3 linked regions of the Alligator mississippiensis genome follow. The protein of the gene in region 2 interacts with the protein of the main gene of each other region in a pairwise test. Links are inferred from orthologs where the notes say so. Each region holds a gene or a part of one and is shown on either strand. Other genes may lie near its edges. The genes, in order: CDR2, HDAC4 and SFN.

The links.
Region 1: the proteins of HDAC4 (region 2) and CDR2 interact in binary tests that used the Homo sapiens proteins (3 or more experiments, as listed by UniProt). The two-hybrid records come from large-scale screens. The link is inferred for Alligator mississippiensis from reciprocal best matches to the Homo sapiens genes HDAC4 and CDR2.
Region 3: the proteins of HDAC4 (region 2) and SFN interact in binary tests that used the Homo sapiens proteins (3 or more experiments, as listed by UniProt). The link is inferred for Alligator mississippiensis from reciprocal best matches to the Homo sapiens genes HDAC4 and SFN.

What each region holds. Positions count from the first base shown.
Region 1 is NC_081836.1:46,673,585-46,681,652, reverse strand, and holds the start of CDR2 (cerebellar degeneration-related protein 2), read left to right. Parts: upstream 1-4,380; 5' UTR 4,381-4,496; coding exon 4,497-4,575; intron 4,576-8,068. Other genes in the region: transmembrane protein 180, read right to left, coding at 614-766.
Region 2 is NC_081827.1:182,299,599-182,307,770, forward strand, and holds the start of HDAC4 (histone deacetylase 4), read left to right. Parts: upstream 1-4,640; 5' UTR 4,641-4,813; intron 4,814-5,401; exon of another isoform or gene 5,402-5,480; intron 5,481-8,172. UniProt on the Homo sapiens protein: Responsible for the deacetylation of lysine residues on the N-terminal part of the core histones (H2A, H2B, H3 and H4).
Region 3 is NC_081829.1:2,829,338-2,836,791, reverse strand, and holds SFN (14-3-3 protein sigma), read left to right. Parts: upstream 1-4,969; 5' UTR 4,970-5,129; coding exon 5,130-5,870; 3' UTR 5,871-6,461; downstream 6,462-7,454. Other genes in the region: palmitoyltransferase ZDHHC18, read left to right, coding at 1-185. UniProt on the Homo sapiens protein: Adapter protein implicated in the regulation of a large spectrum of both general and specialized signaling pathways. Binds to a large number of partners, usually by recognition of a phosphoserine or phosphothreonine motif.

The sequences.
Region 1 (8,068 bases), on a different chromosome or scaffold from region 2:
CCCACCCCTGAGTTAGTGAAACTATTTCCCAGCTCTTCTAACAGAGGATGTTTTGATATATAAATACAGACGTTCAAAATATTGTGCTTAATTTTTCATTTTACTTGGGGGGGTGAACTAATGCTTGCCAGAAACCAATATTTATAGGTAGTTCACTGTCTAAAAATGTGGACAGGTGCCTAGTCAGATTTTCAAAAGCTTAGATGTCTACTCTCATTAAAATATAAGCATTCTGGCTGTAAGCCACAGACCAGCAAACACTTACATGCAAGTAACTCTGAGCACATAGGCAACCTTACTGAGCTCAACAAGACTCTTCAGGTAAATAAAAGTTATTCACATGAGGAAGGGTCTGAAGCATCACAATGATGATCGATTTTAAGTACATTAGTAATCCCATTTAGACTGAAAACATTATTTCAGTACCATAAAGGCTTTTTTTATTTTTTTTAAACTAAAAGCTATAAACAATGTACACTTAGTGCATCTTTAATTTATGATAAATCAAATATTTCAGTAGGGCAACAATAAATTCATAAACAAAGCAGAATTATTTCAGTGCCATATAAATGTTATACAACACTAATAAAATCAATGTTCCAACATACTGTACCTGAGCTTGATGAAAGGCAATTTCTGAAATCTTGTACTGGTTTAAGAAAAGCTTAACATAGTAGAAATTAAAGATACTATTCATCATTCCAGCACCTAATGTGGTCATGGAATATGCCAGTGCATTAGGATGAATTCCTAAAACAATCTTCATTTTCCAAATTGTGATAGTTTCTTCTTCTGCTTCTAATTTAAAAAAAAAAGTTAACAATTAGATAAGTACCATTACCTGATATTTATAAACTTGCTAACAACACAAGATGGCATATTGTAACATAGAACAACTCCATGTTGCTGGGGACAACCAAGAGAGATTTGCCCATGTCAGGGCTGCAGGCTGGGGTCCCACAAATCTGTATTCAAGGATTTCTTCATTCTCAGTCTCTTTTCTACTTCTAAATGTATTGCAAAACTTTTAAGATTATTGGACCATGAGCACAAACCTAAACAGCTACAGTAGTAATTTATCAATACCATTTCTTAATATATATGCAATGCTTAAATGCCAATAGAACATGTCTAACAAAAATAAAGGGAACTTTTATCATAAGTGGCATAACCCAGTCCTACATCTATGTTAGTGCAAATCCAGCTCCCCAAACCACAGATATTTTACAGATCACTCTTTCTTTCATTAGCTTAAAAACTGTTAAATGAAAAACAGACTAAATAAATTTAATTCATATTGATGGATTACCTTGAGGTATCAATATGTAATAAGCTGCAAATTTAGTTCAGTAATGTTTTTAAAACACATTCTTTTAAACCAATTCACGATGATCATTTTTAGTTTAACGTTAATAATAAAAAACAATGTGGAAGCAAACTTCCAGTTAACAAAATAATTAAAAGACAAAACAGAAACCATTACTTTTGACTAGGAATCTTCTTCATCTCTGTTTTCTCCCTTACTAGTCTTATATTACAAAACTAGAAATTTACATAAAGCATCCTGAAGCTAAACATTATGCTCTGTAGTCACACAGCATGTGAAACATCCCTATGGGGTTCAGCCAAGGACATGCAGAGTTCTTAGCTCAGCACTCTCTAACTTAAGCAGTGTATAGGTGGCCCCATCACACTGTGGGGGTGAGGTGGGAAGTTTCAGAAACTGGCCCCGTATGGATGCTCCGTGAAGTGCTAGTCCTGAAGCTGTGTGCTCTGTGTGTGGGTCCATTTGGCGTGTGCCACCCATTTGGGTGGGTGAATTCAAGACCCAGGGCCAGCAGCTAGATGATGGGGCTCCATGGGTCAGATCCAGCCTGCAGACCAGATTTTTGACATCCCTGATTTAGCATAACACTTAATTATTCTTTTCTAATTCAAGTTAGAAACAAAGGAACAGTTGGGATGAGGTGGAAAATGGAAAGAAGCAAGCCTCCATGGCCCTTTGAAGCTGCTTATATTATTAAATGAAAAGATGACTAAAGGTAGCAATAGTAAAAAGACACAACTTTAAATTTAAGCTTGTTACATGTTCCAAATAAATTCTGTATAATGGCTTTACATTGTTCACTGTATCTGACTTTTCACATACAAATGTGAACAGCTAGATTACTTTTCTCTTTTGAAAATCAATTGGTATTAATAGCTCATTCTAATCCACCTAACCATATGTATATCCTCATTAGCACAACTTCAGATTTCTTCCTAAGAAAGCTGTGCAATCCCTCAATATTTCATAGCACACCAATTCTCAAAAAATATATATTTTAAAGAATATTTGCTAATTTCTGATTTATCCCTTCAGTCACTAGAAATTCTGTCTGTAAATATTAATTTCCACTCACTCTTGGTAGACTAAAGCCACAGGCTGCCCTCAGCAAGATTTCCACATCCTTTTAAACTAAGGGAGGCTGCCATCAGCAAAAACTATCACTTCTCATTGTTCCCGGCATGGCTGAAGATAGGCATTTCTGGGGAAGATGATGACCTTTAGTTACCACACAAAGTCCAGGAAACCTGCATAGAGTATGAGTAGACAGCTGCCTAGCTTGTCTACAGATGGTACAGAGTAGCAGCTCTCCAGAAGCAGTAAGTTAAATGTTTCTAGCTGGACACAAAGTGGAGTGTAGCCACGTGGTATGTGGCGCTCCAGATACATCCATGGCACCACATACTATACATTCAATTGTTCTCCTCCCTGCAAGAGAGCAGCGTGGAGGTTTTTTTGGACCCCTGGATATGCACACACGGTGGCAATGGGAGCCACCTAAAGCTGGAGCTGTGCTCTGCTGCCAGCCAGGCTCTGCATGGCAGAAGTAACATGACTGCAGCCCCTGCAGGCCCCCAGTCTCCCCTACCCCGCCATGGGTAACTTGTGCCAGAGCACGCGTGACAGCTAGCAACCCCACACAGTATCCTGCTGCTAGTTGTCCCTGGGGAACCAAACATTCACACACATCTGGACATGGCCAAAATGTGTTAACGCGTCTTTATTTTATACTGGTTTTGTACAATGGTGTGAATTAGCCTGAAGTAGTTGCTGTTACAGCACCTAATCACTAGGTGGGAAGATGAGCACATCATAACCTGCGTGCATTGAGCAGTCTACCCTGGGATAATTGCAAACATACTTTACTTCCACCAGCCTGTTTTTATTCATTTTTTTTCCTGGGGTAGCTTTACACCATGTTCTAGTAAGCTGCACCGCTACAGGGGTTTCCAGTGTGCCTGCTTTTTTTTTTTTTTTTTTGCACCAGTAAGAGGCAATTTATACTTGTGCAATCATGTTGGGCATCCAAACCTTAGGGGCAGATGCTCCCCGCTCAAGGTGAAAAAAAAGTCAGCCAGGCACAAAGTTAACCTGAGCCAAAGAAATAAATACAAGCATTTGTGAGTCACTGCTGGTTTTTGTGCATACTTTTTTTTTTTTTTTTTAAAGAGCCTGGCTCATGATTTCCGGATGTTTGGATAGGCAACACTGCATGCTTTTTGCAGAGTCTTTAAAAAAAACCAACAACATACTAGGTTCTGCAATATTAGGTGGGCTGCAAACTGCATAGCAGCCTTTGCCTTCAGAAGTGAGCTCTAAAGAAGACTATCTACGGGAACCCTCTCACGTTACACTCGACTCTCATCACATCGGACCCACAGACTGCCCTGGATCCTCCTCCAGAACAGGAGAGCGACTGGGTTGCACGATCCCATCCCGGGAAATCTCCTTTGCTCCTGCACAAATCCTTCCTGCTTCCTGCAAGCGGGTGCTGCCGCCGCGCTGCCTCGCGAACAGGCCGGCAGCAGCGCGGGGTCCGCAAGAGCCGCTCGGGCCTCCTCTCAGGGACGGCCTCCCCTGGCCCCCGCACCCCAACGGGGCCAGCCCAGGCGGCTTCGCCTGGCCCTTCCGACGCCCCCTCTCCCAAAGCGGGAGGCGGCTGCGGGCCATGGGGGAGGCGAGGGGCACAGCGGGGCGGCCAGGGAAACAAAGCCCCGGGAGCTGCCTGTGTAGCGAGGGGCGTTGTCACCTCGCCTAGCCCCCGACACGCCGGAGCCCCGGACACCGCCCCGCCGCCATGGCAACCCCGCCTGCCCCCCGCCGCACTAACCGCGCGCCTCCTCCCTCAGCCTGGAGCCTGCGCAACAACCGCGGGGGCGGGGACGTCGTGCGCCCCACCCCGCAGCCTATTGGAGATGCGGAAGATCCCGGCGCGTGATTGGCCCGCGTTCCCGTCGGTCTGCGAGCCGCGGCGCACGATTGGCTGCGCGCCGCGAGGTGGGCGAGCCGGGTTTGAATTGCTCTCGGGAGGGAGGTCGGTTGCCGCTGCCACGTTGCCGCCGCTGGCGGCTCTGCCCTGCCGGCGCCGCGCTCGGCAGCGTCCGGAACCGCTCGGCAGCGTCCGGAGGCAGCTCTGAAGGGAGCGTCGGGGCCGGCGGGTCGGGGCGCGATGCTGGCCGACAGCTTGGTGGAGGAGTTCGAGCTCCGCGAGGATGAACCGTGGTACGACCAGCAGGACCTGCAGCAAGGTGAGGCCGCCCGCGCCGGCGGCACCCGCCGCTGCCCGCGCCCGAGCAGCTGCCGCCTCCCGCACCTGCGAGGGCCGCCGGGGCGGAGGAGGAGACCGGCTCTGCGCTCCCCTAGCCTGCTCGTGCCGCGCGGACCGTCCTGCCCCGCCCGCCCGCCGTCCTGGGCACGAGCACAGCACCTGCGCGCCGGGGCTTCCTTCAGAAACTTCCCTGCGGGGCATGAACTAGGATCCGCCCCGGAGAAACGCGGGGGAAAAACCACTAGAAGCTGATGCTGCGGGACCAGGGATGTGGTGTCGAGCCTTCCCTTGTCTCCAGTTCTCGGGGCGCTTGGAAGCATCCCCTCCTTACTTGGCGATTTGGCAGAATAACGTCTGTGTATTTAACAGAAGCGCGTTACTTAGTTTCTTTTCTAATATGCCATTAGGTGCCACACAGGCTGACCCACATCAACGCTGGGATGGGAGAGGTTCAACCAAGGGTTGCCAACTCTCGTGATTTTTGGCATTGCTCTTCAAGTCTATGTTCCGGGAACGTGAAAAACGTAGCTCTTTCTTTTATTCATATTTATCTGCCTATAAGAAGGAGCTGGGTTTTTTTGCATTCCCAAAGCGCAGACTTTAACAACAACGCCAACGCTCATGAGAGTAGCTTTTTAAAAGATTAATTCTTACAACTTGAAAACCCGCCCGAACCATCTAATTTCAGAGTCTACCATCTTTGACTCTTGTGCCCAAGAAGAAAACAAAGTTTTGGCTGGGGTGTTATGACCCCGCACTCGTTCCTGCCTGGGGCAGGGGTTCGGACCTGATGATCTGTTTAGGTCCCTTCCAACCCTAACAACAATGAAAATTTCACCTGGGGGGGAAATGGAGTTTAATATCTAGTCCCTTTTTATTAAGAAAAAAAGTATGGAAATGACTTTTCTGTTTGCTGGGAGATTCAAGAATGGTAAACAGCAACTTCCTACATCAGATATATGTTTTGGTGCCCTGCTGAAAAAAATTCATGCATGCTAGGAAAATGGCCACCAGCTTCAACAAAGTGTTGACTAGATCACAACCTAAAATGAAAAATAAATGCACAATTCAGAGACTCTTCTAAGACTTGTTTAGAAGTAAGGCTCGTGAACTAAATATTCACAAGGGCTAATCAGTGTATACCATATTGCTTAATAATCTCTTGTTGAAAGGAATGGGCACAACTTACTGCACAATTATCTTGGGTGGATTATTAAAACGTAGGAGCAGGACGCTGGCAACATTATCTTGATGTTTGGTTGCCCAGTTGTAATAACACCTTCAGCAAGGTTTGTACAAGTGTCATGAAGAGATGATTGCTTAGGGAGAACAGGACTTCCAAGTCTGCAGTTTCCAGACATAACAGTTAAACCTAACAAATCTAGACTGATCTGCCAAAATCTTGCTTGCATATTGTACTTTCAGGGACAAGGTGTAAAGTGACTAAACTTGTATTGGCCATTCACGACTGTTCAGGGACTATTCTCATGGTGAAAAGGGAACTTCTTAAATATCTGACCGAGATATTAACCAGCATATTGCCAAAATGTATTCAAGATCACAAAATAAAATGGAATGCAGAAAGATAAGCTTCTGTACTACACTGAAGTTTCAGATGGTCTTTCATTGTTTTTATCCTTATTCAGCTGGTTAGCTATATTCTGTTGTTTACTTGCACACTTGCTTTTATTGCACCTTGAACTCTGAAGGAACATATCAGGCTGCATAGTTTTGTCACCAGCCAAACTCTAAAACTCTGCAGGTGAGGTCAGGTTCATGAAAGCTCACACTGTTTTTCTGGTTTAGTTTGTCTATAGGGTGTAAATCTACCCTGCCTTCTGCTTGACTTCAGACTAACGTGGCAAACCTACCTCTCCAAATTCCCTTAGATGTTAACAAAAGCAGTGTCTGAATACGTCACATTAAATTAATTTAAAAAATGAACACCCTTTAATTCATGCACTAGTAGCCTAACCACCTTTGAAAGCATTGAACACTTTCAGCTCTTCTTGAAACCAAGACTTATCAGTGCCTTAATGTAATTAAAATCAGCACATTGGAAAGCAAATTCTTTCTGCAGTACTTAATGCTCTTAGTTTTAGATGAGACCAAAATTTTATTTTAAGACAAGGTTTACTTTCACATTTGAGTGATTCTGCCTATCATATAGAAACCAATTTCTTCTCTGTCAAGAATAGCAAATTTTTCACATAAGGAAAACATGAATGCTGCTTTGGAACTGCCAAAATAACAGACTACATTTAAGTCTGTAGCATGAGCATCTAAATAAAAGATGGAATCGTACTGTACTCCTTTTGTATTGCTTCATGCTCAGAGTGCTTTGTAAACACAAATATCACACTACCAATATTACACACTAACAGGAAATTACATGCACGGTTTCATTCCTTCCAGTTTTCTAAATACTTTCTTCTCAATTGGTTAGATCTCTTAAGCATATTTTAAATACTTGGTTTTGGCTCTTAAGTCATTTTACAAGTTATGTATGCAGTTGCGTGTCTTTAATAGAATCGTACTACTTGCCTGAAGCATTGAGTCTTAAGTATACCTTGGTATGCTTAGCAACATTTAAGGCAACAAAAATAGCATGAGTTATTGGACGGCTTTAATAAAGATGGCTGATGACCAGCTAAATTTAGTATGTTGTGTGGAATTAGAAAGTCTTAAGTAGGATTGTAATTTATGTAAAGGATTACAGAATCACTGAAGCTGTAGACAGCAATAGGTACTACAGAGCAAGATGTGGAAAAACATGGTTTGGTTTAGGACTTCTTAGTAGACAGGCAAAAAACTCATACTTGCTGCTTTCTAATACAGACTAAGTAGGTAAGATAACATGTAGCAACAAGAGGTCTTAGACAGAATTGGCAGACTGGGAGACTTGTAGAAAGCCGAGGAAAGGAAATGGAGCTACATTTGCACTTAAATAGATGCAAGACCAAAACTAAATGCATGGGGGGAGGAGGGAAGGAATACCAAAGCAAGAATGCTTAAGTCTCTTTCTTTACATTAGGATGTACAAGATGCCTTTGTGCCTAAACACAGCTAACTCACAGATAGCTTTTGTTGGGAGAGAGGACAACTGATTTTCTTAAATAAAGAGCCATTTAAGCTGATAACTTAAAAAATGAGGAATTTGTTTCATGCCACTGAAACCTGCAATGCAAGACCTCTTTTTCTCAGGTGTCTAAATCGCATTGGAAGGAACACTACGTTCTCCTTGGCTTGTCCTTCCTTGTATTCTGGGTGGCTGCCATGTGTGGGGATAATTCTATATATCTAAAAATTAGCAAGATTGTATTACCAGTGGGCATGCTTGAGACAACTTGGTCATGGTCTAAGTGCTGTTAAAGATGTGGAAAATTTCAGATGTTAAACAATGCATCTCTTACACTCCATGCTCCTCTTGATATTAAATAATACCATGTTTAGATGGTTTACTGTTCCAGCAA
Region 2 (8,172 bases):
TCCTGGGGATTTGCTACTGGTATGTGAGAGAAGTTTTGAACGCTACACAGATTGCCTATACTGCTTATGGAGTGGAGTTGGATAAAAAAAATTCCCTTCTTTCCAGGACCCCCAGGCTAACATGAGTCCATTTAATGTTTCCATGAAAAATGAAAGCAGTTATCAAAAGGAGAATACGACTTTGATGCCATTGTATTTGAGCAACTTCAATTCAGTTCAGTTCAGTTCTGACTATATTTGACTACCAGCTGTGCGGGCCGGGAGTGGTCCGAGGCCCTCGGGGGCGCGTGGTGGGCTGTGGCCAGCAGCCCTGGCACGCGGGTCAGGGAATGCAGGCCGGCGGACTAGAATTAGGCACGGACGCATAGCGGTTGATTAAAGATTATTTTACTTACACCGTAGATGGTCGCGGTGCAGGCAGAAAAACTTGCTTGTGTTGCAGTTACAGACAGGAAAGAAGAAAAGCGGACAAGAGTTCTAAACTCGCGAACTCTAGCCCAATCCGGCTGAAGGCTCTAAAAACGCGAGCCTGTTGTGTCAACTGAAGAAAACAACTTGGAGAAGAGCTCTGGATACACTCACACGAAGTTTGCTGGGCTCCGTGGAACTTGTGCACAGGGAAGGGGTTCATCAAGAGATTGCGCTCGGCGATGGGGAGAGGCCAGAGGTTGATCAGACCCCTATAGCCTTCTTAAGGTACACGCTGGGTCCGTTAGGCTCCGCAGCGCTTAGAGTTCTTCACGAGATGTGAAGTCCTCCTCCTCCAGATGGTTGTGGAGTCCTCCCTTGCGGGGTTCTCCTTGGAGTTCTCCAACTTGGGCGGAAACCGCTCAAGCCTCTTATACAGCTAGCAAGCCAATCGCTAGCCGTCACGAGGGAATAATTTAGAACTGGCCAATAGTGGGACACAAATTTGCATGCGGGTGGCGGGAACTTCTTTGCAACTAAGAAATGCACCTTGCAAAGAAAGCTCCTCGTGGCTGGAAATAATTTAGCAGTGCCGAAGCGCGCACACACAAAATCACACCCTTAGGTTGTGACACCAGCAACACCTCCAACAGTCTGATATGCTTATCTTATTTTGAAAGGATCTAAAGCCTGAAGGATAAAGATTGAACCCTCAGGAGTCCTTTTTGCCTAAACATTTTAGGCACCTGACTTAGCAGTTGTCAACTAACATATCTGCATCATGTGGCGTACAATATTTCAAGCATGTCTTCATATTAGTTCCAAGCATTTTGCAGAATTAAAAAATTCAACAAATGAGAGTGGTGACAACTAATGGACATGGTCAAGCAAGAAACTACATAGTGAAGATCATATAATATACTAGGGTAATTATATTTAGCATATCAAAACCTAAATTATTGCTCATGAAGTGCGAGGAACATAAATACAATGGACACATAGAAATCCTGTTTGCTACTTTAGGAAAAGTATAGTATTTTACCCAGGGTCTTTTAAATACAATCTGGTAGATATTTGATACCATGTGGAGTTGTCCATAGCCATTTTTACAGACGAAATTACCTGAAAAAAGAGGATGTTAAATGCACTCCCGGAGCAGAAGCTCTATTAAGACAGCTCCTGGCAAGAAATGAAGATTTGCTCATCTGCTAGTAACTGAGTGAAATATTATATGTCCAATATATGTTGCAATTCCTACATTACTAATTACTCCAATTCTGTCACAATCTGTACAGCCAAAATTCAGATTTTCCTGAGGTTTACATTATCTGAATTGGCTAAATGTGTATAAAAATGAAAAGCTTCTATAATATGCCAAATGTTGTTAAAACTGAAACAAGTAAATTGTGTTTAAAATGTGTGCAATACATTGCCAAATTGACCTTAATTTAAACCATTATTCATACGTTATTTCCATTTCTTGATAGGGACCAAGGCTTGCAATGTTGCTCAGTTGTCTAAACCAGAAAAACCATTTCCCACATCATATCCTCAATGACACTTTAGGTTGATGAGGTACAACAATAACTTTTTTCATACAAACTCATTGGGCCTTGAAGCTAATGGTAATACTAGCATGTTGTAGAACTGAATAAACGCACAAGGTCTTCAAGGTATCAGGTGACCTCCTCTAAAAGGGAACTAATTACCATGGACAATCTTTTGCCCTTCAGCGCCACCTTCTTTTTTTGACTGGTGCTTCTTTCCTTGGCTGTTTTGTCTTGATTTTCACTTTTCTCACCTCTGGTAGAGTTAGCAACAGCTTTTTGGTCACTGGGGAAAATTTGGAGGGACTAGGTGTAAGCTCCCCACGTTGAGGCAGCATGTAGGTTAGTACGTACTGAAGAGGAAAGCACAGCCGCCACTGCTACGTGCCTTTTGGTAGCAGCCGCTCGCTATTTTGCAGAACACTTTTCATGAATCTGCTTTGTTTTCACCTGCATGTTAGAACTGGAATTGGAGTGAGAAGGTTCTTCCTATGCTTTCCAGGGCAGCTTCCTTCAAGGCAATGCCAGAGACAGGCCTCTAGGGAAAAATTCTGACTCACTTTTTCAGGCTTTGTTTTGAGTGTTTATACAGATATTGTAAGAGCAATGCTACCAGCAGACTACCTTTCAGATCAGGAAAAACCAAATAAGAGTTAAACTCAAATATACCACATACTGGATCAGCCCTGCATGCTCAAATATATGCATGTGTGCACCTGTCTTTGTCCCCCCCATCTCCAACAATTGTTCTCATTTCTCCTCCCAATCCACATTCCCTTAGGGTCATCTGGCTCCTGTCTTTATCATGTGTAAATCCCTTTATATCTATCTATATATGCATGCCACACCTAGATCATCATGCATGCTTAGTCTGTACAAAAAATTTATTCATGTTCCAATTTTCGTTGATCCTTACTCGCTTTGCAACTTCCTTGACTTCTACTAAACCCTACTTTATTCTACATCTATGAATATATGACATGTATTTCCTTCTACCTGTAAATGGAGGTGAAATGGGATGTAGACAAGGGAGAGCAAAGAAGCCAGAGCAAGGAAAAAGTTGCTGAGACCTACCACTCATTTTGAATAGATAAAATGTGTGGAAAGCCTAATTTTAGATGACTGTTTTTTATTGTTTGGAGAAAACACAGCTCCCAGTGGACAGGGCTTCCTCATGTATTTCTTGTAGAAAAAAAGGATGCTTCCTTTTGCATAAAGTTACTTTGTACTTGACAGAAAACACATCACATTAGTTGGGGTTTTCTTTCTCTGCAGGAAGCTTCATCCAAATGCATAAGGCATATCAGTCGTCCTAGATTTCTTCCCCAGAAGGTAAACACTGTCTGACCTCTATCTAGGCGGGAGAGCAGCAGCGACCTCTCCATAGGGAGATCACCTCTTGCAAATTTGAGACCTGTCATACTTCATGCTTTCTTTGGTTCAAGCCTCAGCTCCTGGATTCAGGCATTGGGATGAGTCCCAGCTCTCAAGTAAAGCGAGCTCCAAGGCCTCACAGTGGTGGAGAAAAGCTGGAAACTGAAAGGTGCCAAACCTCACAGTCAACGGCATCATTGAGCATGTGCTGGTTAGAAACAGCACTCTCATGAATGGAGGCATGTGGGACTCCTTAGCTTTGCAATAAGGTTTTGCAGCCTGGGCTGCGCCATCCCTGGAAGTTGATAAAAGGTTGTCAAACCTGCCACACACACATGGTGAGGGAGGGCAGGCTAGGGGTGTGTCTGGGAGGGGTACAGCGGTGCTGTCATGCTGCATGTTGGTTCCTGCTCCACCCAGAGTTTAAAGCCAACTGTCTGGCAGCAGCATTGGCACCTCAGGCAGCAGCTAGGTTGTCAAGCAAATTCACAGCTTATTACAATTTACCTCATCCCGTCTAAACCTGTTCCTAGGTGTTAACAACCCTCTCTCTTCATTAATGGTCTTAATGTTCCCCCAGTCAAGCTGGCCTTTCTTCAGCCACTCTGCCGCCCCAGTCTCTGCCTCTGGCAACTAGGCTGCTCTTTCCCAGCCCTGCGGGTGGTTTGTAACCGACTCCTACGAAGTCCTGTTGGTTTCTGCTTCCACCTGAAACGGGAAACACTGGCCCAGGCCCCTGGCCTACGAGCAGAGCATCTAGTTTCTTTTTATTTGTGGGTAAAGGAAGACCTCTGATGAAGATGGCAGTACAGCACTGGAACAGACACCCCCGAGAGGCGGCGGGCTCTCCATCCTTGGAGGTTTTGAAGCCCTGGCTACACAATGCTGTGGCCAGGACAATCTAGCTGGGGCTGGCTCTGCTCTGAGCAGGAGACAGGCCAGATGTGACCTCCCGTGGTCCCTTCTGGTTCTCATTTTCTATCATTCGAGAGACTGTGCGCCACGTTACACTCGACAGCGCCTTTCACCACCTGTGCCCTTCGCAAAATCCTGGACATGCCCAAGGGGCGCACCATGGGCCACAGCCCCAATGCACCAGGGAAGCCCTGCGGGGGCTCAGCTCAAGCAGCACCCAGGGGCGAAGGCCAGGGAAGCGCTGAGGGACCCTGCCGCCGGGGCGGGTTGGGGGCCTAGTCGAGATGGTGGGGCGGGGACCTGGGCTCAGCGCCAGCCCCTCCCCCGCCGCCCGCACTCCCCGAGGGAGATGGGGCGGGAGCTGCTGCTATAAATAGCCCGCGCGCCGCGATTGGCTGAGGGAAAAAATGGTCGGAGCACGTGACTTTCCAGCTAAAAATTCCAAGATGGCGGATCCCGTCATGGGCTGAGTCCGTTGGTGGCGCGCGCGCCGCTGTGTCAGCGCCAGCCCCCGCCACTGCCCTCCCCGTGACCCGCTCCAGCTCCCGGGGCCCGTGCCCGCCGTCCAGGTCAGTGCCTGCCGCTCGCGCCCTGCCCGCCGCGCCTTGCGCCCGCCTTTGCCCGCAGGCAGCCGCTGCGCGGCCCCTTTAAGACTTCGGGTGTTTCTGTCCTCCGGCTTTGACTTGTAGGAAGGCCGATCCCGGCCGCCGGGCCCTTAAAGGGATCGGTCCCACCCGGCTGTTTTTTTCTCTCTGCTCCGACCGTGAAACGCCGAGGGTCCGGAGGGGGGGCGGGGCGGGGCGGGGCGGGGCCGCGGAGGGGGAAAGGAGAGAGTGATGGACGGACAGCGCATCCAATCCGAGCCATGCGTGTTGCAGTGGCGGGTGCATTTAAGCCGCTCGAAGCTTCGAGCTGGACTCTGATTGCCCGCGACTGGAAACAGGGCGCGGCGGCCGTGGCTGGCCAGTCAGGGCTGGAGGAGCGGGGCCGGGGGTGGGCCTTGGCGAGACAGACGCCTGGCTTGCCCAGTCGGCGCGGAGCGGCGTGGTCCGCCCCCTCGCGGCTTAGCGTGGCCGGGGTTTTTGTGAATGAGGCGGGTGGGGCGGGGGCTGCCGCAAGTCCCGCCCCCCTCTCCCCGGCGCTGCGGCTCCTCCCCCCTCCCCCCCGGAGAGCAGCGCCGCTGCCGCCTCGGTGCTAAGAGCGGCGGGAGCGGGCGCGGGAGGGATGCGGGCAGCGGTGAGTGCGGCCGAGCCGGGCGGGGCCGCGATCCCTGCGGGTGCGGAGCAGCCCTGGGTGATGGGAGGACGGGCGGGCGCGCTTGTCCGTGTGTCTGGCTGCCGCGGGGATGCGCGGGCGGGCGGGCTGGCTGGGTAGGGTCTTGGTCCCCCCCGCTCCGGGCCCGCTCCTTCCCGCCCGCCGGGGCCGGAGCCCGCCCAGTTGTTTACAGTCACGGTCAAAAAGCCTCCGGGTTCAAACCCCATCGGGCTTGTCCCAGGACCCCGCTTCCCCGCAGGGCCGGGCAGGTGGGCTCGCACGAGGTGCCGAAGAGCCTGGAGGGTTTTGGCAGCGGAACTTGTTTTTTCTGCCTCTTCCCGCCGCCGCCTGCAGCAGCTCGTGAAGTGGGTTTGGGGGAGAGGATGCCCGGGGCTACTGGGCATGGTTTAAAAGCGATTTCTAAGGCTGCTGTCACTTGGGGCCCCTGGTTCTTCTTATTTTTAAATGGTTTTTTGCCGGGTGTCAAAGTCACAAAGTCTGTGACTTGGCAAATGCAGGGTTGGGGGGGAGCTTTTTTTTGTTTTTTTTTTGGGTTCTTTTGCTATAGGGGAAAAATATTTGGTGTATTTCATTTCCTCATTGCAAATCCCACTGCCAAGCCAGCCGGGCAGCGTTTTGCTTGTCCACTTGGATGACAAGTGGACAAGCAAATAGCCGCTCTTTGATTGGCAAGCGCCGGCGCAGTTGGCTCAGCCAATAGAGGAAAAAAAACAAAGCTTGTGTTTCAGGTACTGCGTTTTCAAAATGTAGTTGGACTGTTGCAGTGCTGCTGATGTAAAGTGCATAAGAACAGGATTAGGACCCGCTTAGGTTAATGTTTGTAAGCACAGGCTCTTATGGCCTGTGCCTGCCCCCCCCCCCCCCCCCCCCCCCCCGAAATTGCTGTGCAATCAGAAGGGAATTTTACTCTTAACTCTGAAGTGTTGGATTTGTGCAACAATTTTCATGTCATAGTTTTAAAAAAATTAATTATAATGTATTTGGAGCAGAGAGAAGGGAGGTGTTGCTGAGCAGTTGTGTGTGGGTTTATGCTGCAGGAATTCATCAGGAAAGATACTGTGCAACACTTGAGCTTCTTAAATGTTATCTTCGCATTTTTGTGGCATGGCAAATGCAGCATGACATCTTAAGCTTTTTCACTTTTTTACATGCCAGTTTACTTGACATTATACCAGGCTACCTTGTACCATTTGGAGGGTGGTAAACCTGATCCATTTTTTTTTCTTTAAAACCTTTGTAATAGCATTATGTAGCTCATGTACATGCCTGCGTGACACTGAAGGGTTCTTGTTGTTTTAGCAGTTTGTCAATAGATTTGCTGTGACAGCTTTAATGTCAAGGTTTGCAGAAATTAGGCTTGTCACTTAAATTGTTGACTTACTGGATTTAATGGTACATTTATTACCATCAAGTTACTTAGTGGTTTAAGGTGAGGTGAGCTTTAGTAAATTCTGCAGATGATTGGGTTGTCTGTTGAGGTGAATGCCATCTGTATGCCTGGATTCAGGGAACACATTGTCATGCTGGGGGCCACAGACACCAGTTCCTTTCTATGAATTCATCTCCAATATGGCTATCTGCATGGTTTGAGTTCGTTTGGAGACCTAGCAGTATTCCAGTCCCTGCAGTCTCTGCACTCCAGTGTGAGATCCCAGTGACATGCCGAATCTTACGTTGGTCTTCTGCACCATAGGTGAAATTAAATTTTAGTGAAGAAAGCTGCTGGAATATATTCTGATTTACTGCTGTTTTTATAGTGCCAAAAGTGCCTTGCACAGGCTGTGTTTACTACTGTCAAAGTGCTCTTTATTGTGGCCAGTAGCTATCTGAAGTTAATTACCTAAGAAAGAGGAAGCCTCTTTCTAAAAGGCAACGTTTTTTAGAAGTGAAGGAACACCACTAGCATTTATGTAGTAATCTGATTATTATTATTATTATTATTATTATTATTATTATTTTTTATTTTTTTTTTTACAGTATTTCTTTTTTTGTAATATGATCTGGAGCTGCTTTGAGTGTTTAGTTTTTGGTGTTTCAGTTGCTGTTGTAGTTCTCAACCTAAAAGCTATGGTGGTTGATTTGGAGCCTGTCTGAAAGAGTTAAGGGGGCATTGAATTAAGAAAGCTCAGCTGCTTGTATACAAATATACAGCAATTACAAGGCAACAAAGTTATTGCAGAATTCCACTGTAACCATGGCAACATGTTCACTCAATTACATTTCCAAATGTAAAATGCCACCCAGTTAGAGTAAGTTTTAGCAACCACCAGTTTTTGTATAAAACAAAATGTGTAAGAGGCAACCTTTCCAGGTTTTGTGCATTTTCCCATTTGGATGGACATGTGCTTCTTTCCCAATTTCATTTCTTCTTCTTAATTTTGATGTGTTCCCTTATTTTGTGGATGTCTAAAAGCCACTTGCCATCCTCCAGGTCCAGTATTTAATTTTGCTTCTGCATCTTGAGTTGGAAAGATGAAGTGGATTAAGCCAACATAAAACATATATTCTGAGAGTTGCACTGGAATACAAGGTAGACTTGTCAGTTACTTTAATAGGGGGCAGATAGTTAAAATAGGGTTGGTAAATAAAAAATTCAAATTTGAAATGCACTGTTTTGCTGCGTTCAGTGTGAACATACTGGGAGAACTGCGCG
Region 3 (7,454 bases), on a different chromosome or scaffold from region 2:
AGAGAAAGCGGACGATACCTGAAACTACAGCCATTACCACCACCTGTGCCTCCACTCTCCAGGGCTATGCTACAGCACCGGCTCCCCTCCCACGGCAGGAGAGGGGGGAAAGCTGCCATGCACAAGGGGAAGCCTCTCCAAGCCCCCACCAGGAGCCGGCGCACTCTGCTGTCCTGTGGGTTTGAAGCTTAAAGCCATAAAACCACCTGCTCCGAGTGCAATAACTAGAGTATCTACTGTCTCCTGCTGCCAGAAACACTTGCGCTACTGAGCTGAGGCTGTAGGTGGCTGCCTGCGACTAGCCTTACTCTGCAGTGAAGCATCTCCCCTTCGGTCAGTCCCAGAAGATGTCAGTAGTTATTAGTCAAGCAGCTCCTCTGAACTTAACAGGCTTAGTGCAGCGTTTGCAGCAGGGACACGGGCTGGTAGTTGCTGGCTGTGCTGGCCAACACCCTCCCCAAGCTGCCTTCCTGGCGCACGCAGCCCGAGGCCCCGTCTCGCTGGCAGTCCGTGCGCTCCGAGGTCACCTTTCAGGCAGCGCTCGCCAGTAAGCCCAGCGTTTTCCGCTGTCTTAGGGCAGCTCCCGTTCTCAGGGAAGGGAGTAGAGCGCAGCAGCAGCTTGCCTAGCGTCCGTCCCTGTCCAGCCTCTTCCCCCTGCTACTGCAGTCAGCGTTACCGGGAGCCTGTGCCTAGCAGCAAATGCACTAACGCTCTGGCCACTAGCAAACCGGGTGCGAGGCTTTACAAAGCAGCTAGTGCGAGACGGCCCAGCCCCTGCCTCCTGCCAGCCCCGCACAGGCCGGGGGACTGGAACCGCGTCAGGCCTTTTACTTTTGTAACACAATAAAGTCTCTCCTATTTACTGTACCCGGACCCCTGGCTTTTGTTCCTCCAGGAAGGTGTGCCCCTTCTCTGCCGCTCGTGACTGCACACGTGTTCCCTGGGGGGAGGTGGGGTGTGAATGAGAAGTCTCCTGCTCAGTGATTTCAGGCTGCAAGCCAGGAATATCTAGCTCCCTGGGCTGCTGTGCGCTGGTCCCAGCCACCCGGAGCCTGGCTAGGTGCAAGTGTCAGGTGCTGAGCTTTGCCACTTGTTCAGGCCTCATCCCTGTGAAACCCCAGGTGCTCCCAGTCAGCTCAGAGCCAGGCTGGGTCTTCCTGGAAACCGGATGCAGGGTGAGCTGCACCTGGGAATCAGTCCGCCTTTTTTTCCCCCAAACTACCTGCGTGCTCAGTGCAGGGAGAGAAGGCGGGGGAGGAGGGGTGAGGGGCTGCTGGTTTTGTTGCTTCAGACCCAGGTGTATCTATTTAACTCATCCAACTATCTTGCTGGGATCATTTGACCCCCTGCTGCCTACCTGCCCTTTGGGCAGGGGCTTGGACCCAATGATTTTGCCAGGTCCCTTCAAGCCCTAATGTCTATGAACTGAAATCGGTGACACTGGGGACAGGTGTCTCCAGCTGCTTCCTTCTCAACTGCCCTGTTGCAAAGTTGCTGGTGGACCCGAGAGCTGCAGTTTCGTATAACTGTGGCAAGGGGCTGATCTGTCCAGAGAGGAGCGAGGGTGGGTCAAGAGCAGCAGGGGAAGCCGTGTTGCATGCTGCCGGGGAGCCTGGCACGTCGCAGGACTGAGGGGTGGGTGCAGCAAGGCGCGGCGGGGCTGCGGGCCTTCCAGCCAGGGCGGGAGGGAGTGAGTAGGAAGCCTGTTGTGTTAATGCCAGAGCGGGTCTGCAGCTCTGGCTGTCGGTGCTCGGAGCTGGCCTGATCCACGGGCCCCACTGAATGTCATCACCGCCACGGGGCGTAGCCTGGCCCGCCTCTGCGCACACATCTGTGCACAAACTGGGTCAATTTGTTGGGCACCTTCTTGATGCGTTTGCTGCCGCTTATTGTTCCCGTTCATGCTGAGCTGTTTGTGAAGGGCGTGCCCCAGTCTGGTCCATGCGCTGCCCGGGATGAGAAGGTGAAGTGGGGCCAGCCCAGGCCAAGCCCATCTTGTCATGCTGAGCCCTGTGCCATCCTGGCCCCGTTCTTCCTGCCACGTGCGCCCAGCGACTCGCGTTGGCCTCAGAGGGGAGGGACGGGAAGGCGAGTTGACCAGCTCCAGGCCCGAGAGCCCCTTTTCTTCAGGGTTAACTTGATCCTCTGCTAAAATGGAGGCTTCTGAACAGCTCCTCTGGGTTAGGTCCAGTTCCACCAGCCGGGAGGCAGACGCGTGTGGCAGCATCGGCACTGGCTGCCGGACTGCAGCGGGGCCCTTCCTTTTCCCACGGCAGCGCCACGGCTTTTCTCAGAGCAAACAGGGACACAGATCAGGAAGGAGCTAATTCCTCCCTCCAGCCAGGGAAGAGAGACTGGGGCTCACCCATGCTTGTTCCTTACCTCTCCGCTGGGCTTGGGAGCAGACAGGCTTGCTCAGTTTAATTCTCCAGCGCCGAATGCAGCAAGCATGTGCCCTGCCGCGAGGCCCCTGGTGCAGCGAAGGGATCGCAGAGCTGCCTGAAGGAAAGGCGCCTCGCCTGCCTCCTCTTCAGTCAGCTGCACAGGGCAGGAGGCTGCGCAGACCCTACCGCGCGGCGGGCGAGCCCCCAAAGGGGAAGCAAACCTGGGGGGACATTCACACCTGGGAAGGAATGACGCGGCTGTGGCTAGAGCACGTAGGCACCCACCACGTGGCCTGGCATCCCCTCTGACAGCCCGCAGGCTGCTCCCCCCATAGAGAGCCTGGCACCTGCCGGGTGCTACTTGCCGGCATCTCTTTTGGAAACACTCATTGCTGGTTCCAGCGCACGGCTACTTGGGCGCCTGCAGCACCAGGGTCCCCGTCACCCCCATGGGGCCCCAGTGCAGCATTCAGGCCCCAGAGACGGGGGGACACGGGACAGGGAGTGCAGCACTAGGTGGGACCTGGGAGAACTGGGTTAAAGCCCTGCTCTGACACACATTTCATGCATGAGCTCGGGCGAGTCCCTTTGGCACCAGGCTGCGGTGTTGGGCCGTGGGAGCTGCGTGTGGAAATCTCTCGCAGGTTCTGGGCCTCGGTGCCCGTCTGTGTGACAGCAGGGATCGCTGTGCTGCCCGCTCTGCCCCGGGGTGCCGGGAGGGGCTCAGATCCCTTGGTAATAATTACTCAGGGAGCGGGGAAGGCCTCTAAGCTAATTGCACCCATTGCACCCAGGAAAGCTAAGCACACGTCACGGGGCTCAGCCTCCCCTGGCTCATCCAGGAGGGATTCAGCGCTGTAGCTAGGTCACGGCATTCCCCTCAAATCAGCAGCGAGCTGGTCTGATCTCACTGGGGTGTCACCGGGGCCTTTCAGCAGAGAAGGGCTCAGACGTCAGCTGGGGGGAGACAATCCAGGGCTCTGCGCACGGATGAGTAGCGCCGTGAGTCACGCAGCCAGAACAATTCCTCGGCGCAGTGGGACAGCTGAGTTGCCAGCCCCACCCTCCCCGCAGCGGATAACGTGGAGGATTAGCGCAATGAGTTTGTCACGCCGCGTCCTGGCAGCAGCAGAAAGGAGCAGTCGGCTCCCAGCAAGTGGGAACAAGCTTAATCAGTCTGAGAGTGAAACTGCAGCGTAACTGGAGGAGGAGATTCTAATCAGGGCACATCACGGCGAGAGGCAGCGCAGCGCCGCAGACGGTCCCTTTTCCCTATTTCATCAAAGAGGCTTTGAGCCGGGCCGGTAGCAAAGCGAGAAACCATTGGCTTCTCGGCAGAAGCCGCTGTCCCTGCCTCGCACGCAAGGCCCTGGGGCAGGATGCTGGCTTTGGGAGCCACCAGGCTCTTGCGCTAGTGGCCCTGCGGGCCGGATAGAATAGCCTGGCGAGCCGCACCTGGCCCCTGGGCTGCATTTTCCAATCCCTGCCCTGGACGGTCTAAGATGGGCCTGGACACCCGCTTCCCCCACGCCCATTTGCTCCCTGCACGGAGCCACATGCACCCACCTCTGGTACACAGGCTGGGCTGTCCAAGGCGCTGTCCCTCCCGAAGGAGGAGGATAAAGCATCTTAGTGTTGAAGCAGTCCCCAAAACTAGAGCAAACGGACTGGGGTGACCCTATTCAGTCACACGCTCCTGGTTTGCTCCTCTCCTCTATAGGCAGCTTTATTCTCAGGGTAGAAGAGATGAGCGCAGCATGACTGGTGTCTTATGCCCTGCCTGTTGCCCACAAACCTTCCCCCTTTCCCCTGGAGGAAGGCCACATGCTTCTCAAGGCTTTTTGAGCCGGTGCTGTCATGCAAGTCTGCTCACGGGCCCAGCAGAAGAGGGCATCGAGCTTACTGGGGGGGGGATGTGATGTGATCTGAGCGCAGCAGCGGGAGCCGAAGCTCGTGCAGTCTTAGTCCACCTATAAAACAAGCCCTCTCTGCACTTAGAGAAGTCACTTGTTCTCTCTGCCTCGGTTTCCCCGGCTGCACAAAGACCCAGCTCCCAGAGGAACGAGCCCTTTTGGTATTTGAAGTGGCTGCATCGTGTTAGCTTTCTGCGGTCAGACAAGGTATGTCTCATCAGGCTGAAGCTGCATAGCCGCTCGCTGCTGGGGAGCTAGGGGTGCTAAGCAGAGACCATCTGCACCTGGCAGAGGGGGCAGCTAAAGTCCCCCGGCAGTGAAAGATTTCCTGGCATCTGAAATGGGGGTTAGATCTGCTTGGTCCTCCCTGAGGGCTGATCTCGCTTGAGCAGCGGAGCAAGGCTCCCACGGCCGAAAGAGCCCATCTCTAGGTGCGTGTCCAGCCAGGATGCTCTCCGACCACCTAGAAAGGGTGAGGCGACAGGCCGGGTGGGGCAGGGCGGGGGGCACAGTGCCGGAGCCGGGAGTGCAGAGGCCAGCCTGTGATTGGCAGGCGGCAGGGTGGAGGCCTTGCTGGACCTGGATGTCTCCTCCCTTCGCTGGCACATGGTTAGTGAGCTCCCAGGTGAGTCACTGCCGTTTGCCTTTTAAGGAGCTGCCCGGCTAGGAGGAAGTAGAGGAGGGGCTCAGCCAGGCTTCTCAGCGGCACCCAGCCCTTGCTCCAGGCTCAGACGCTCAGCCAAAAGCAAATCCCGTCCGCGGCACCGAGACAGACTTTGAGGGCTCCCAGGACAACCGCCTGCTCCTTCTCCAACCAGCAGCGCTCCCAGCCATGGCACGAAACCACCAGGTGCAGAAAGCCAAGCTGGCCGAGCAGGCCGAGCGCTACGAGGACATGGCCGACTTCATGAAGGCCGTGGTGGAGCACGGGGACGAGCTGTCCAACGAGGAGCGCAACCTCCTCTCGGTCGCCTACAAGAACGTGGTGGGGTGCCAGCGCTCGGCCTGGAGGGTCGTCTCCAGCATCGAGCACAAGACCGAGGAAGGCGACGACAAAGCGCAGCTGGTGAACGAGTACCGGGAGAAGATCGAGGGCGAGCTGAAGAACGTCTGCAACGTCGTGCTCGGGCTGCTGGACAAGCATCTCATCGCGGAAGCCAGCGATCCGGAGAGCAAGGTCTTCTACCTGAAGATGAAGGGAGACTACTTCCGATACCTGGCTGAGGTGGCCACGGGGGATGACCGCAAAGACGCCATAGACAATGCCCAGAAAGCCTACCAGGAGGCCATGGACATCAGCAAGAAGGAGATGCAGCCCACGAACCCCATCCGCCTGGGGCTGGCCCTCAACTTCTCCGTGTTCCACTACGAGATCGCCAACGCCCCCGAGCAGGCCATCACGCTGGCCAAGACCACCTTCGACGAAGCCATGGGCGACCTGCACACGCTCAACGAAGACTCCTACAAGGACAGCACCCTCATCATGCAGCTGCTCAGGGACAACCTCACGTTATGGACAGCCGAGTGCGCGGGAGAAGATGGCGGCGAAGCCGGGGAAGAGCCCAAGAACTGAACCGCGGCCCGGCGAGCTCCCCACCTCTCGGCCCCTTTTTGGCAGACGTGTCTCGGCTCCACAGCCCGGATCCTGCTAGCAGAGGGGACGTGCCCGCGCGTATGGTATTCGCACATTTTATCTTGCCTTCCCCCGAGGCAGCTTCGGGACAAAACCCCCTTCCCCGGCCCCATCCCGATTTCCACGATACCCCTGGTGGGTGGTTGTTGCTACAGAAGAGCGCTGCTAACTCGGTGTCCTGCCCAGCGTCCTGTATGCTATTGTTAGCATGGGGGGTGTGTATGGAAGGGGGCATCTTAGGCCCCCCCCACCCGCACCCCTTTGCAAAGGGCTGAAGGGTCCCCACTCTTCAGGGCGTTTAAGCAGGGGAATCTGAGGAGCTGGGAACCTGGCCATCGCTCCTGCGGCGTGCTGTGCGGGGTCCCTGTCGCCGCTGCCATGAGCCTTGGTGGGAGAAAGCTGGAGGTGAGGGGCCTGGGGAGGGATTCTTTCTTGCGGGTTAAGAATGATAAACTCGTGGTGCTGCCTGTGTCTGTATTGCCATAGCCGCTGTCTGCCTGTCCCTGCCAATAAAACTTCACCTGCCCCCTGCCTCGGTCGTCCTGGTCGTTACTCTTTGCTGGGCCTGGTGCTGTGGAAGCGGCTGGGTGCAGCCCGTGCCCCCTGGCACATGCCTCTCTGCTGCTGGGTAGGGGCGAGGGGGTTCCAGCTGTGCACATGTCTCGGCACGGCACAGGCCCGGGGCTTTTCCAGGCAGGCTTGTGCATGCCAGGCTGCCTGTCAGTGCGGGTAGCGGGGTGGGGGCGCGGGGAGAGGAGCGAGGTGCCGCAGGGCAGGCCTCGGCAGGAGGCAAGGACCCCACCAGAGCCGCACAGCGGGCGATCCGGTTACAGCGACGAGGGGATGGGGGAGCAGAGCCTTCCTGGGCCTCCGGTGTCTCGGTTCTGGGTAAGCAGGACTCCTGCCCCCGCCTCCAGGGCCGCTATCGGTTGCTTTTGTCCAGCCCGTTGTCCGCCCCAAGCACCATGTGCACATACAGGCCCATGCACACGTGTGCAGGCACCTACATGCATACACACGCCCCACAAAGCTTCTCCCACTAACGTGGCTTTTAAAAGCTGCCGTTTCTCTTGTTTCCTGCGCAGAGCCCGGTCTCCAGAGAAGGGCTCCTCCACCCAGGGCTGACGGCGCCCTGTGACGCGGGGGCTCCGGGGGCTGAGGGTGGCTGCAGCCCTGGACCGAGGCAGCAGAAGCTACAAGCTACAGTCCTAAACCTTCTGCAAAACTCCAGCCAGGCTGGACTTCCCTTGGGTGCAGTATGGAAGTAAAGATGCTCGCAGGAGCTAGGTCTACATCAGAGAGGGGGCAGAGGAGTTGCATCTTCCCAGGATCCCCAGTGGGTCCAGGTGAGCAAGACTTCTGCCCCCACCCCTCTAGGGAACAGTGCCCGTTGCTTTCCTGGGGGCCGCAGCCACCCCAGCACCAGGGGCTGCCCCGTGATCGGTGGGCTCATGCAGGGACTGGGCTGGATACCAGTCTGGGCTGCAGACAGCAGCGGAGACCACATGCAGGGGCAGGCTCACG